Canis lupus familiaris: one gene and its partners. The main gene of each other region encodes a partner of the protein of the gene in region 3 in a complex. Links are inferred from orthologs where the notes say so. Each region holds a gene or a part of one and is shown on either strand. Other genes may lie near its edges. The genes, in order: CFP, CFD and CFB.

Region 1 (3,246 bases), on a different chromosome or scaffold from region 3:
ACCTCGTAGGCACTTCCTCGGTCCACCCCCGGCCAACCGCCACCCCACTTTGGGTCTCCGTTAATTGCAGCACTGGATCTGGGCTGCTGAGAGTGGGTGGGTGCAGGTGTTCGCCGGCGGAGTGCCAACCCCAGCCACACCTCTGCCGCCTCTGCTGTGCGGCTCAGCACCGGATTGATGCGCAACCCGCCAGCCCAGAGGCTCCGACGGGTGGGAACCTCGGGCACGCCGGCCAATCAGAAAGTGCCGGCCGGGCCGAGTGACCAACCAGAAAGCCTGTAACGCAGAGCTCTGCAGAGGGATGTGCCGGACGCCCTGGGACTTGGCGCAAGGAGGGGAGAGGGGCAGACGCTGGGGCTAAGGCAGCGGGGAGGGGATGGGTACTCGCGCCTTCGCTCCTGCCAAACCGTGGCCGCAATGGAAAATACTGTTTTCCACAACAAGCCACAGCGACTCTGCCCGTGCTGTGCCTTTTGGCCTAGAAGATGCTACTGCTTCACTCCTGGGGAAGAGGCTCATTTATTGAGGTCTGGGAGGTCAGGGGATCAGGGCAGAAGAGACAGGTGTTAGGGCTTCTCATCCTGAGGGTCTTTGCAGGCAGGCACGTGTAGACATGGCCGAGTCTCCTCCACCACCACCTTCTGCCCCTGCAGCGTCTCGCACTGTGCTGAAGGTTTCCCCCAGAAGGTCACGTTCTTCTCACCCTGACCTTCGACCACAGTAATGGTTGGCCTGGGGCATTAGAGGGGGAATGGAGGGGAGAAGCTCAGGGAAGGTAAGAATGCATTCAATAAACTCATAATGAATACCTACTGTGTGCCCAACACTATTTTTTACCTATGAGATATTGGGCAATTTATCTTCCCCATGCTCATCTGGAAAATGAGAATAATTGGAATAATAATAATACCCACCTTACTGGGCTGAGTGAGGATAAATGAATTAATTTTGGTAAAGTGCTCAGAGTGGCGTCTGGTACACAGTAAGTACTCAATAAATGCTGGTAATTGTTACTCGTTGACAAGACCTACCTTCTCTTACCTCCTAAACTCCTTATATCTTTCCCCAGTGCCCATGGGGAAAAGTCCCCAAATGCTTTGCCCTGGTATTCAAGGCCTTGTTTTGGGGCCCAGGTGCCTGCCCCAAGATCTCTCTTTTCCACTTTATCCACAGTCCCATGTCCAGAGTGGTCTTTGCCTGGACCTTTGCCTGGACCTTTGTTCCTCCCATGAGACATGCATTCCATTCATTCACTCTCACCCCTGTTCCCTCCATCAAATCCATTCATATCCCAACTCTGCCAAGTGCTTCCTACCTCTACTCAACACCTTTAACTCTTCTTCAGGACCTACTAGAAACCCCAGAACCAGAGACCACTTCCAGATGGCAGGTGTTTCACAAGTGGAGTGTAGCTCACTTAATCTAGTGGCTCGAGGTATGTGGAAATAAAGAAGGGATGATGTTTTTACCCTCTGTTAACACCTAGGCCCCCAGGAAAAACCAACTTTGGGCAGCTGGTCACCAGTATCCAGGACTCTGCTCTCACAGTCTTAACACTGGGAATGCCTTTGCTGACCCCTTCCTGCCAGGTGAGATCCGATTGGCTACATGGACTTGGGGCGAGGTATCAGTCCCTTCTCCATTGTACCAACTGTTCCTCATCTGCCTTCTGTCAGGCCCTTGTTGACCTGTATCCCTTGGGGGGACCCATGGGACCTGGGTTCTGTGTGTTTTCAATTGTTGGGGGAAAGCCTCCCAGGTCCTGAGGCCGTGAGACATTGAGTGAGATGTGGGTGGCTGAAGGAATGAGTAAGAGAACGAAGGCCTGAGTGGCTTTAGGGGCAGACCCAAGCTTGGGTGACCAAAAGGGCCAAGTGCCTGGTCACAGGAAAGCCTGGGTGAGCGGCAGGATGGCTGAGTGACCAAATGAGAGACCCAAGGGCACAGTGGCCACTGATTCTCCCCCTCAGTATCCTCTTTCTCAGCTGCTTCATTAGTGTCTCTCCTCTTCCTGCAGGTGGGAGATAACACTCGTCAAGGCAGGTACCATAGACCCAAGGGGTGGATGCCCTGGTTGTGGGGAGCTGAGCTGACTCTCCCACCATCACTGCTCACATATGGCTGTCGTGACCCCCTCCTGAGCACATTTTGCCCCCTCACTTACGAGAACTTGGGGAGCTGGGCCATGCAGAGGCGCTGGCGGGTGCGGATGGGCATGGGTCCACATGGGGGTACGCACAGACCCCAGGTACTCCACTCTGACCATAAGCCTTTCCCTGCAATGAGTCAGAATGAGAGGTCTCAGCAGGGTGGTGTGTGTGTGTGTGTGTGTGTGTGTGTGTGTGTGAGAGAGAGAGAGAGAGAGAGAGAGAGAGAGAGACTGAGAGGTGGCAGGGACATGGGGGTCCATGGTAGAGTCAGAAACCCCTTCTTGCTGCAGGGGCTGCCCCATCCTCACAGTGTAGTCTGTGGGGAACACTCACAGTCACAGTGTTGAATGTTGTAACAGTGACGGATATCTTGTTGTTCTCCAACACACCGCTGTCCATCAAACTTGCGGCCCTTGCAGCTCCTGGAGCGTGTCTGCTGGCCTGGGATCGCCTTACACATGATGTTTATGCCCCGACGGGCACAAGTGCTCCACTCCTCCCAGGACCCCCACTCTCCATTCACTGCACAGACAGGGGCAACCAGGGCTTGCACCAAAGGGAGCCAGTGAGGGGATTCAGAGGAAGGGATGAAAACCCAGGGGAAGGAGTGGAGGTGATCAGATGTGGGGCTGGGGGACCAGAGGTGGGGCGGAAGCAACAGGGCTGGGAATAGGGGAATGAGAGGCAGGAGCAAAGCATTAGCAGCAGGAACTGGGCAGCAGGGATGGGTGAGAGGCTTAGGCATGGAGACAGGGAATCTTGTGGTACCGACCAGGGCAGGGCACAGCTGTATTGCAGATGTGGGTTCGGACGGCATCGCCAGCGCAGGGGGGGCCCCCATGCTGGGGCGCAGGGTGATTACACATCCGTTTTTCCAGGGTCTGGCCCATGCCACAGGTCACAGGGCAGGGGCTCACAGGGCCCCACGCCCCCCAGCCCCCAGCCACTGTTGGGGGTAGAGAGAGGAATGAGAAGATAGGCCACCTCGATCTCCCCCTCAGCCCCTAGACTCTTGAGGCAGATTGTTCCAGAATGAAGAGTTCTGCGGTCACGTGCTCTAAGACCTCTATCCTCTGAGATGGCAGAGCATCTGTTC
Region 2 (3,952 bases), on a different chromosome or scaffold from region 3:
TGCCGTGGCTCTGGGGCCAAATGCAGGCTCTGCCCGGGGGCTCCCTCGGACCCGAGCCTCAGTTTCCCCACGTGGGCCGTGGGTCACAAGAACAGCTTGACTTCAGAGGGTGCTCAGTCCGGAGCAGGGCCCCGCACACGGTGGGGAAGACCCGACGGAGGAGGCCGGACATCGCTGGGCGGAGGCGGCACCTCCGCGTGGACCCCCACCCAGCCCCTCCATCTCGGGTGGAAGACTCGGGGCGCCCCCGTGCGGCCAAGCGGGGACCTGCGCCCTCGGGTCCCCGCCCCGCGGCCGGCGGCGCGTGCTCAGCGGGCGGGGCTCATGCAGGACAGGACTTTATTGCTCGGCCCCCGCGCCCGCCGCCCCCCGGGCCTCCTCAGGCGGCCGCGCCCCCGGCCATCACGCCGTCGATCCAGGCCGCGTAGCTCGCCACGCGCGTGTAGATGCCGGGCTTCTTGCGGTTGCCGCACACGCGCGAGCCCGAGGTGACCACGGCCTCGGCCACGCCGCCGCACACCAGCGGGCCCCCGGAGTCGCCCTGCGGGGACGGGCCGTGAGCGCGGCGCCCGCGGCCTCGCCCCTCGCCTGCGCACCTGGTCTGACCCGGGTCGGGCCCCGCCCCGCGGTGGTCCGGCCCCGCCCACCCCGCCGGCCCCGCCCCTCGGTGGCCCCGCCCACCCCGCCGGCCCCGCCCCTCGGTGGCCCCGCCCATCCTGTTGCCACCGCCCCTCGGTGGCCCCGCCCATCCCGTTGCCACCGCCCCTCGGTGGCCCCGCCCACCCCGCCGGCCCCCGCCCCTCGGTGGCCCCGCCCATCCTGTTGCCACCGCCCCTCGGTGGCCCCGCCCACCCCGCCGGCCCCGCCCCCTCGGTGGCCCCGCCCACCCTGCTGCCCCGCCCCGCCCGCGCACCTTGCAGCTGTCCCGGCGGTTGCTCTCCGCGCACATCATGCGCTCCGTGATGGTGCCGTCGTGGTACGTGCGCAGGTTGCAGGTGGCGCGGTCGAGCACCGGCAGGATCAGGTGCTGCAGGCGGTCGGGCCGGCGGCCCGTGTGGCTGACCACGCCCCAGCCCGCCACGTCGCAGCGCGTCCCGGCCGCCACGTCGCGGTCCTCGCGCTGCCAGCGCAGGGGCTGCACGGCGGGGCCCAGCTCGGCGTCCTCGGACAGCTGCGGAGGGGGCGGCGCGGGGTCAGGGCGGCGCGGGGCGGGCCTGCGGCCCAGGTGGCGGCCCCCGCGGCGGCCCAGGTGCTCACCTGCAGCAGGAGGAGGTCGTGCTCGATGGTGTCGCGCCGGCTGTCGGGGTGGGGCACCGCCCGCAGCACGTCGTACCAGCGCTTGGACGGCTCCGGCTGCGACAGGGAGTGCGCGCCCAGGAGCACCCGCACCTTCCCGTCGGCCCTGGGAGCGGGGTTGGGGTCACAGCCTCGTCCGCGGCGCCCCGCCCCGCCCCGCCGCGCCCCTCCGCGCCCGCCGCGCCCGCCGCTCACACGTCCTCCAGGCAGTGCGCCGCGCTCAGCACCCAGCGCTCCGACACCAGGAAGCCGCCGCACACGTGCTTGCCGTCCACCTGCACCGACGCCATGTAGGGCCGCGCGTGGGACTCGGCCTCGCTCCCGCCCAGGATGCGCCCACGAGGCTGCGCGGCTGCGGGGGGGAGGGGCAGGCGGGGGGCGGGTGACGGGGGTCTGGGCCAAGCCCGCGCCCCACGCGGCGCCTCCGGGCTCAGCGCGAGCTCGGCCCGCGGGGCTGCGTCCTGCGTGGGCCCCGCGTGGGCAGAGCTCGGCCCTGGCGCTCCCGCCTCGGGGAGTCCCTCGGGTGCAGAGCCCCCGTCCAGGTGGAGCCGCGCCTCCCCTCCCCGGCTGCCCGCCCGCCCGGTCCCCTGGGCCCAGGTCCACTCACCACACAGGGCGGCTCCTAGCAGCACCAGGGGCACCAGGGGCACCGGGCCGAGGCGGGGGGCCATGCTGCCGTGGGGCCTGGGACGGGCACGCGTGTGAGCCGGGCGGGGGGCAGCGCTCCGCACACCCACCTGCTGGCCTGGCCCTGTGGCAGCCGAGCCCAGGACGCGCAGAGGCCAGAGCAGGCCCGGCCCCGCTGCCCCCCCATCTCCCCAGGGTGCTCTCCCCGCCCCAAGTTTTGCAACAGCAGCTGGAGACCACAGTTTATAAACAACCAACTTCCTCATATTTCCGCCCTTCTCTTGTTTCTCTTCCTCCCCCAACTTGGAGGAGAGGTCAGGGTGGGGATGGGAGGTGGCCTGACATGCTCGTCCCCAGGGGCACCGGGGCCTGACACCCCAACGAGGCGCATATTAAAGAGGCGGTGTGGAGGCAGCTGGAGGAACTGTGGGCTACAAGTGACAGAAAAGCCAAGCCGAGGGGCACCTGGGTGGCTCAGTCGGGATGATGCGTGCGTCTTCGGCTCAGATCACGATCCCGGGTCCTGGGCTCCCCGCTCAGCGAGGAGCCTGATGCTCCTTCTGCCCCTCCCCACTGCCCATGCTCATTCTTTCTCCCTCTCTCTCTCTTTCTCTCTCTCTCTGTCTCTCAAAGAAATAAATCTCTTAGAAAAACTACCAAGTTGAACTCGGTAGAGTCTTCAACAAGGAAATTTAAATGGGAATTTCAGGGGGGCCTACCTTCAGGTGTGGTTTGATCCAGGAGCCTGAACTATCTCTGTCTGTGGTTTCTCCTTTCCTCCTCGGTGGCTTTTCTCCTCAACAGTCTCCCTCGTTGTGACCCCAAAAGCCCCAGACCCAGCCCAGTGGCTGGGCAGGCCCCTCCCAAATCCTCCATCCTTCCAGCCAACTTGTCCAGGCCGTGCTGATTAGCTGAGCTTCCCTCACGTGTCCCCTCCCAAACCAATCGCTGTGAGCAAGGGATGGCAGATTCTGGTCAGCCAAGGGTTACATGGCCCTCTCTAGCAGGGGGGGACGACAGATCCACGTCTCACGAACCCACAGCGGGGCCAGTGCTGGGACCATGAGGGTGGGGTGGACCTTGGACGTCCCCAATGGGCGCATTGCGCAACGTTGCCCTTCTTTCTCTTCGCCGTGGACTGTTGCATACACAGAGAAGGATGGACAGAACACGACCGTGATTTGCTAGATCCTGACAGGTTTCCTTGCTGAGGTCAGTAGCCAAACAAGTCCTGTAGGGGATGGAGCCCAGCTCCTGGAAGAGGTGGGCATCTCAGCAAGGCTTGGGGACGACTCGGCAAGACGGCGGTTTGACAAAGGGCCCCGAGCACCCCCAGGGGCCCGGTGGCCGCGGAGACACCGCCAGGGTATATGGTGCAATACTAGGCTGAAGGGCCAATCGCACGGCAGCCGGACGCCGCGTAGGGAGGGGGCCGCCAGGGACCGGCCAAGGCCGTGGGGCCCCAGGGCCAGAGCCCCGCCCGGGAGCCCCTGCTGTGATCTCCATCAGGAGTGCAGGTGGGGGGCGGCTGGGACGCGGACCCTCGCCTCGGTACTTCCTGCAGGGAAACAGGCTCAGGGTGGGGGCGCCTGTGGGGCTCGGCGGGTGAGCATCTGCCTCTGGCCCAGGGCGTGACCCCGGGTCCCGGATCGAGTCCCGCCTCGGGCTCCCCGCACGGAGCCTGCTTCTCCCTCTGCCTGGGTCTCTGCCGGTCTTCCTCTCTCAACCTCTCTGTCTCTTTGTATGTCTCTTATGAATAAATAAATAAAATCTTTTAAAAAATAAAGAAAATTTAAAATTAAAAAATAAACAAAATTAAAAACTTAAAAAAAAATTAACGGAAACGGGCTCAGGGAAGTTGACCGGTCACAGAGCTGGGGCTCCAGCGTGGGCTCCCGGGTGCGGCTTCACCCCTGCCTGGACCTGTACCTCGTCACCTGTCGGGGACACAGAGGGCCAGCCGGGGGCCCTCGGGGCGCACCTGCCACAGCGCAGGCCTCAGCAGCTGCCGTGGTTCCGTCCGTGAGCC
Region 3 (4,195 bases):
CCTCCAGGGCCTTCTTGGTGTTGGTCCCGGACTTCAACATGTGATCTGGGGAAAGGGAAGCGGTCACCTTGCCTGGTTGGCTAAGTCATCCATGACCCTGAGAGGCCCGCCAACAACTGAAATCCCACATCTCTCAGGTTCTTGAGTTGCCACCCCACTGGCTTTCCTTTGGCCACAAAAGTGACCTCCTCAGCCCCCGATAGGTCCCCGGTGACCCATATTCACCAACAAGTCTGCCGTCTAACCCCAGACGCAAAGTGGTCTTCCCTGATTTCTCACGTGGTCTCCCCACAACCACCCTGAGTCTTTTGACTTCTCTGATTCCAAAGTGACCCCTCCTCCACCAGTCCCTTCCCTGACCTCTGACCTTCATAGCTGACTTGGTTGAGTATCTTTGTGACCCAGTCGGCATCGCTGCTGTTTTTGTCCCTCACTCGGACCCAGACTTTGGGGTTTGTAGCATATGTCACTAGACCATATTTTGGCTTCACCCCATAACTTGCCACCTGTGGGTTAGGGGAGCAAAGGGTCATGGCGTTGAAAGAAGACTAGGGTTGGGAGAGGTCAGCAGCTTCTCTGGGACAGGGAAGGTTTTCCTCAGAAACCCAAAGGCTCATGGGTCACCCTGAGGTTTGCCTGGGTGATGGGGTGAAAGGTCAAGAAACGACTTCAAGTAAAAAGGAGGAAAGACAGTATAGGACCAGAGGTTTTCTGAGGTTCTGCAGCCCAGAGGGGCTGGGGACACCAGGGAACTAGTTCTAGCAGGGGCCCCACCTTCTCAATGAAGTCCCGGAGACAGTTCTTGGCTCTTGTGAAGTTGCCAGCCCCGATGCTGTCTGATCCGTCCAGCACCAGGTAGATGTTCATGGAGCCCGACGGGTCCAGGACAATCTTCCTCTTTTGCTGCTCCCCTGGGTGCCACCAGAAAAACTCAGGCTCTGGCACGCAGGGTCCTCCTGCCTCTTCGTCCTCCCCTAGTTCCCTGCCTCCCTCCGTGGTCTGCACTCAAACCTGGGATGTGGCCATCCTCAGCATCCACGCCCTCTATGGTCTCAGTCAGGGACGACAGGAAGGCTTCGGCTACCTCTTCAGGGGTGTCATACATAAAGGAGTCTGGGGAGGGCAGAAAGCAGGTCACGTGTCAGGGTGGGGGGAGGGCCAGAGACACATGGACAGGGACGGGACAGTAGGTGGGTTTCGGGGCAGGAAGGGCTCCGCAGTGAGGACGTTCTAGGGGCAGGTGAAGCGAGGGGAGGAGCTGGGCTGCACTACAGGGAGAAGACAGGGCTCTGGGGTAGGGACAGGAGGATGAAAGAGCGGGATCTGAACCTGAGGGCATGGGGCAAGCATCACCTTGGCAGGAAGGCTCGGTTCCACTCCAAGAGCCGCCTTCCTGGCATGTCCGCTGCTGGGAGCCACGCAGGGTGAGGCCTCGGCTGCAGTAGTAGGTGACTCTGTCTTCAAGGCGGTAGTTGATGCCCACCTTCCTTGTGCCAATGGGGATGCCCGGGTTGGGGCAGTAGCCCGCTACAGAAGCACGAGATGCGGAGGTGAGAGCCAAAGCCTGAGGCCCGGATGGCACAGGAGAGCACAGGAGTTGTGACGCCCCTTCCTCAGGCTGGAACACGGCCCCCAGGAGGGAGAGGATCCCGTCGACGGGGGAGGGGATGCTGCTCACCTCCATCATCACAGATGGCCGTCTGTCCGTCCCAGCGACCTGTGGCCTGGCAGGTGCGGTTAGCGGAGCCCCGGAGAGTAAAACCATCATAGCAGCGGAAAGAGATCTCATCACTCACATTGTAGTAGGACGCCCGGGGCCAGTAGTCCCCATTCTCAAACTCCTGTGGTCTTGGGCACCGAATTGCTTTGGGGGAGGGGGAGGACAAGCAGAAGTTACTGAGAAGTTAGGGCTGCTCTTGAGAGTCTCCCTCCGGGCCTCAGGGACCCTATCACAAAGACATAGGGTCTTTCTGGTCCCTCAGAAACCACGCCTACCCCTGACCCATGATGAGTCCTGCTTCTCCATGCTCCCCCTTTCTCAGTGTTCCTTTCACTGCCGGGGCTGCCTGGCACAGGATAAATGCTCAGTGAAGATTCGCTCCCTTCTTCCACCCCCCTCCCTTCAGTCCTCGACAGCTGCTGCACTTGCTCAGCATCCTCACCCCTCAACCTGCTTGGTCTCCACCCAACTCTCACAGCGTCCTAGGCTGGGCCTCGGCCACCACCTGCTCCATCCCTGCATCACCCCGTGCCCACCCTCACTGCCCTCCAACCTCTGCATTCTGCCTTCTTGACAACCATTTTGTCTTGGGTCTGCAGGGTGCTCCAGGACCCCGTGGATCTGCAGGTGCGAGCCTGCACGGGGTATGGGTAGAAGCCAGAGGGACACAGGTACTCCAGCGCCTGGCCCTCCTTGAGCAGTCTGAAGGAGCCACCTTTGATCTGTACTCCCTCCAGAGGGCAGGGGCCTTGGGGCCTGGCCTCAGACAATGGCGTGGCACTCCCACCTGAAGAGAAAGGCTGTTGAAGCCCAGCCTCACAAGGCCAAGGAAAGAAGCTGGGGGCAGCAGGAAGGGGGAGTGGTGACCCTCTCTTACCTCCAGACAAGAGACCCAGCACCAAGGATATAAGGCAGAGTTGAGGCATGAGAGTGCTCCCCATGGTGATGGGAGCAGGAGAGACTGGGGGTGGGGACAGGGTGGTCTCTGCGGGCTGGTGCTGCCTGTCTGCTTCGCTCAGCACCCAAGCCGAAACTTCAGACCTGAGTCTGGTTGCTGTCTCTTCCCCTGCCCCCCCACCACCTCCGGCCCTTTATGCAATCTGTTCTGGCACTGGCGGCTCACCCCGCCCACCTGACCCACACCACTTTCCGGAATGTCCAAGAGGGAGCCCTCCACCCCCACCCCGCAGAGCTGCCAGTCAAGGAAATAGAAACTGCCTAAGCCCTGCCCTTTGCTGCGGTGAACCTGGACTGACACCTTCAACACCACCTCTCAGCCCCAGTTCCTCCCCCAACAAGCCCAGACCACCCCCTTAGGGACCAAAAATAAAGGCTGGCTCACTCCCTGTCCACTCTGTCACAGAGCAGAGTCCAGCCACTGTTTGTGCGCCAGGGTCCGTGACCTGCCTCCCTGCAGTTCCTGGAATCATTCTGGCCTTCCTCCGCTCTCCCCTCCCCCCGCCCCCGGCCACCCCCCAGGTAGAGGCACAGACAGATGAGGACATTGTCGATTTTTATTAATTTCATAACTGGGTAATTCCACATGAGTGAAAGGAGAGTGAGTCAAGGAAAGGAGAGGGTGCGCCCCTGGGGATTCCCCAGCCTGGATGTGCTTCTCTGGGGTTGCCGGGAGCACAGATGGGTCATGGGTCTGAGTTCAAGGGTGCGAGACAAGACAGATGGCAGATGCTGGCAGGACAACAGAGGGATGGGTGGCCACAATTAGAGGGGTAAGAAGTTCAGGATATCCTCCAGGTGCTGCCGCAGCCAGGGCTGCAGGCGAAAGAGGTTTATGTGAAAATCTCGTGGTTCCTTGCCCTTGGGGGGCCTCTGGCGTGAGTTTTTATTACTCTTGCTACAGGGGTTGTAGAGACCCCAACTCACCAGGCCCACCTGGAAGAGGGAGAGAAATGGGGTGGGAGGCTGTCACAGCCTCAGCTCCAAGCCTCAACCTCCCCAGTTCCTTCAAAGGCCGCCCTCGTCTCCCTGCAAGGCCATGATCTTGTAACCCCATTCCTGTAAGTATCCCCCTTCTCTCCTCACCTGAAAAAACCTGTGTCTCCGCTCAAGGAAAACTGCTCCCCCAGATTCTCCTGCCAGAAGGAGGGACAAGAAATTGTCATTCTGACTCTCACCCTGCCCCTGTCGTCAGGGCAGTGCACCACTGTCTTGGCATGCATGCTGGCCGCAGGGACGGCGGTGGTCTCTCCCTCAGCCATCCAGGCTCGGGGTGGGGGTGGGGGGGTGGGAGGGACTTACCCTTGCAGGGATTGTCATCCTTCCCTGTCCCACTGCATAGGAACTGGTCTGTCACCACCTCTCGGACATCCTTCAAGTTGGGGAATATAGCTTTGTCTTGGGAAACGGCCTCAATACAGCTTGTCCACTGCAGCAGGGGCAGAGTGGGACAGAGGGATGGAATGAGCAGTCCCAGGGGCTACCTACAGTTGCTAGCCTTGGAGGGGAGGTGGCATG

The links.
Region 1: the proteins of CFB (region 3) and CFP are in contact, whole or in part, in a crystal structure (PDB 7NOZ), measured with the Homo sapiens proteins. The link is inferred for Canis lupus familiaris from reciprocal best matches to the Homo sapiens genes CFB and CFP. Residues at the interface, in NP_001701.2 of Homo sapiens: Glu54, Gln56, Ser78, Thr316, Tyr317, Leu349, Ser351, Met394; in NP_001138724.1 of Homo sapiens: Arg329, Arg330, Asn331, Lys333, Pro341, Met420, Val421.
Region 2: the proteins of CFB (region 3) and CFD are in contact, whole or in part, in a crystal structure (PDB 2XWB), measured with the Homo sapiens proteins. The link is inferred for Canis lupus familiaris from reciprocal best matches to the Homo sapiens genes CFB and CFD. Residues at the interface, in NP_001701.2 of Homo sapiens: Glu298, Ala301, Ser302, Ala332, Asp333, Ile469, Asp470, Glu471, Ser472, Glu518, Tyr519, Lys585, Asp758, Glu759, Asp760; in NP_001919.2 of Homo sapiens: Asn157, His158, Ala159, Gly160, Arg161, Arg162, Arg182, Thr183, Asp186, Arg200, Val228, Cys229, Gly230, Asn231, Arg232, Lys233.

The regions. Positions count from the first base shown.
Region 1 is NC_049260.1:41,447,668-41,450,913, forward strand, and holds the end of CFP (properdin), read right to left. Parts: intron 3,097-3,246; coding exon 2,923-3,096; intron 2,673-2,922; coding exon 2,484-2,672; intron 2,277-2,483; coding exon 2,165-2,276; intron 733-2,164; coding exon 567-732; 3' UTR 501-566; downstream 1-500. UniProt on the Homo sapiens protein: A positive regulator of the alternate pathway (AP) of complement. It binds to and stabilizes the C3- and C5-convertase enzyme complexes. Inhibits CFI-CFH mediated degradation of Complement C3 beta chain (C3b).
Region 2 is NC_049241.1:58,264,719-58,268,670, forward strand, and holds CFD (complement factor D), read right to left. Parts: upstream 2,801-3,952; 5' UTR 2,643-2,800; intron 1,981-2,642; 5' UTR 1,968-1,980; coding exon 1,492-1,967; intron 1,403-1,491; coding exon 1,258-1,402; intron 1,172-1,257; coding exon 914-1,171; intron 542-913; coding exon 380-541; 3' UTR 323-379; downstream 1-322.
Region 3 is NC_049233.1:1,532,027-1,536,221, reverse strand, and holds the start of CFB (complement factor B), read right to left. Parts: upstream 2,801-4,195; 5' UTR 2,662-2,800; coding exon 2,598-2,661; intron 2,508-2,597; coding exon 2,274-2,507; intron 1,865-2,273; coding exon 1,679-1,864; intron 1,528-1,678; coding exon 1,354-1,527; intron 1,114-1,353; coding exon 1,012-1,113; intron 912-1,011; coding exon 775-911; intron 507-774; coding exon 368-506; intron 46-367; coding exon 1-45. Other genes in the region: complement C2, read right to left, coding at 3,443-3,613, 3,764-3,813, 3,980-4,106.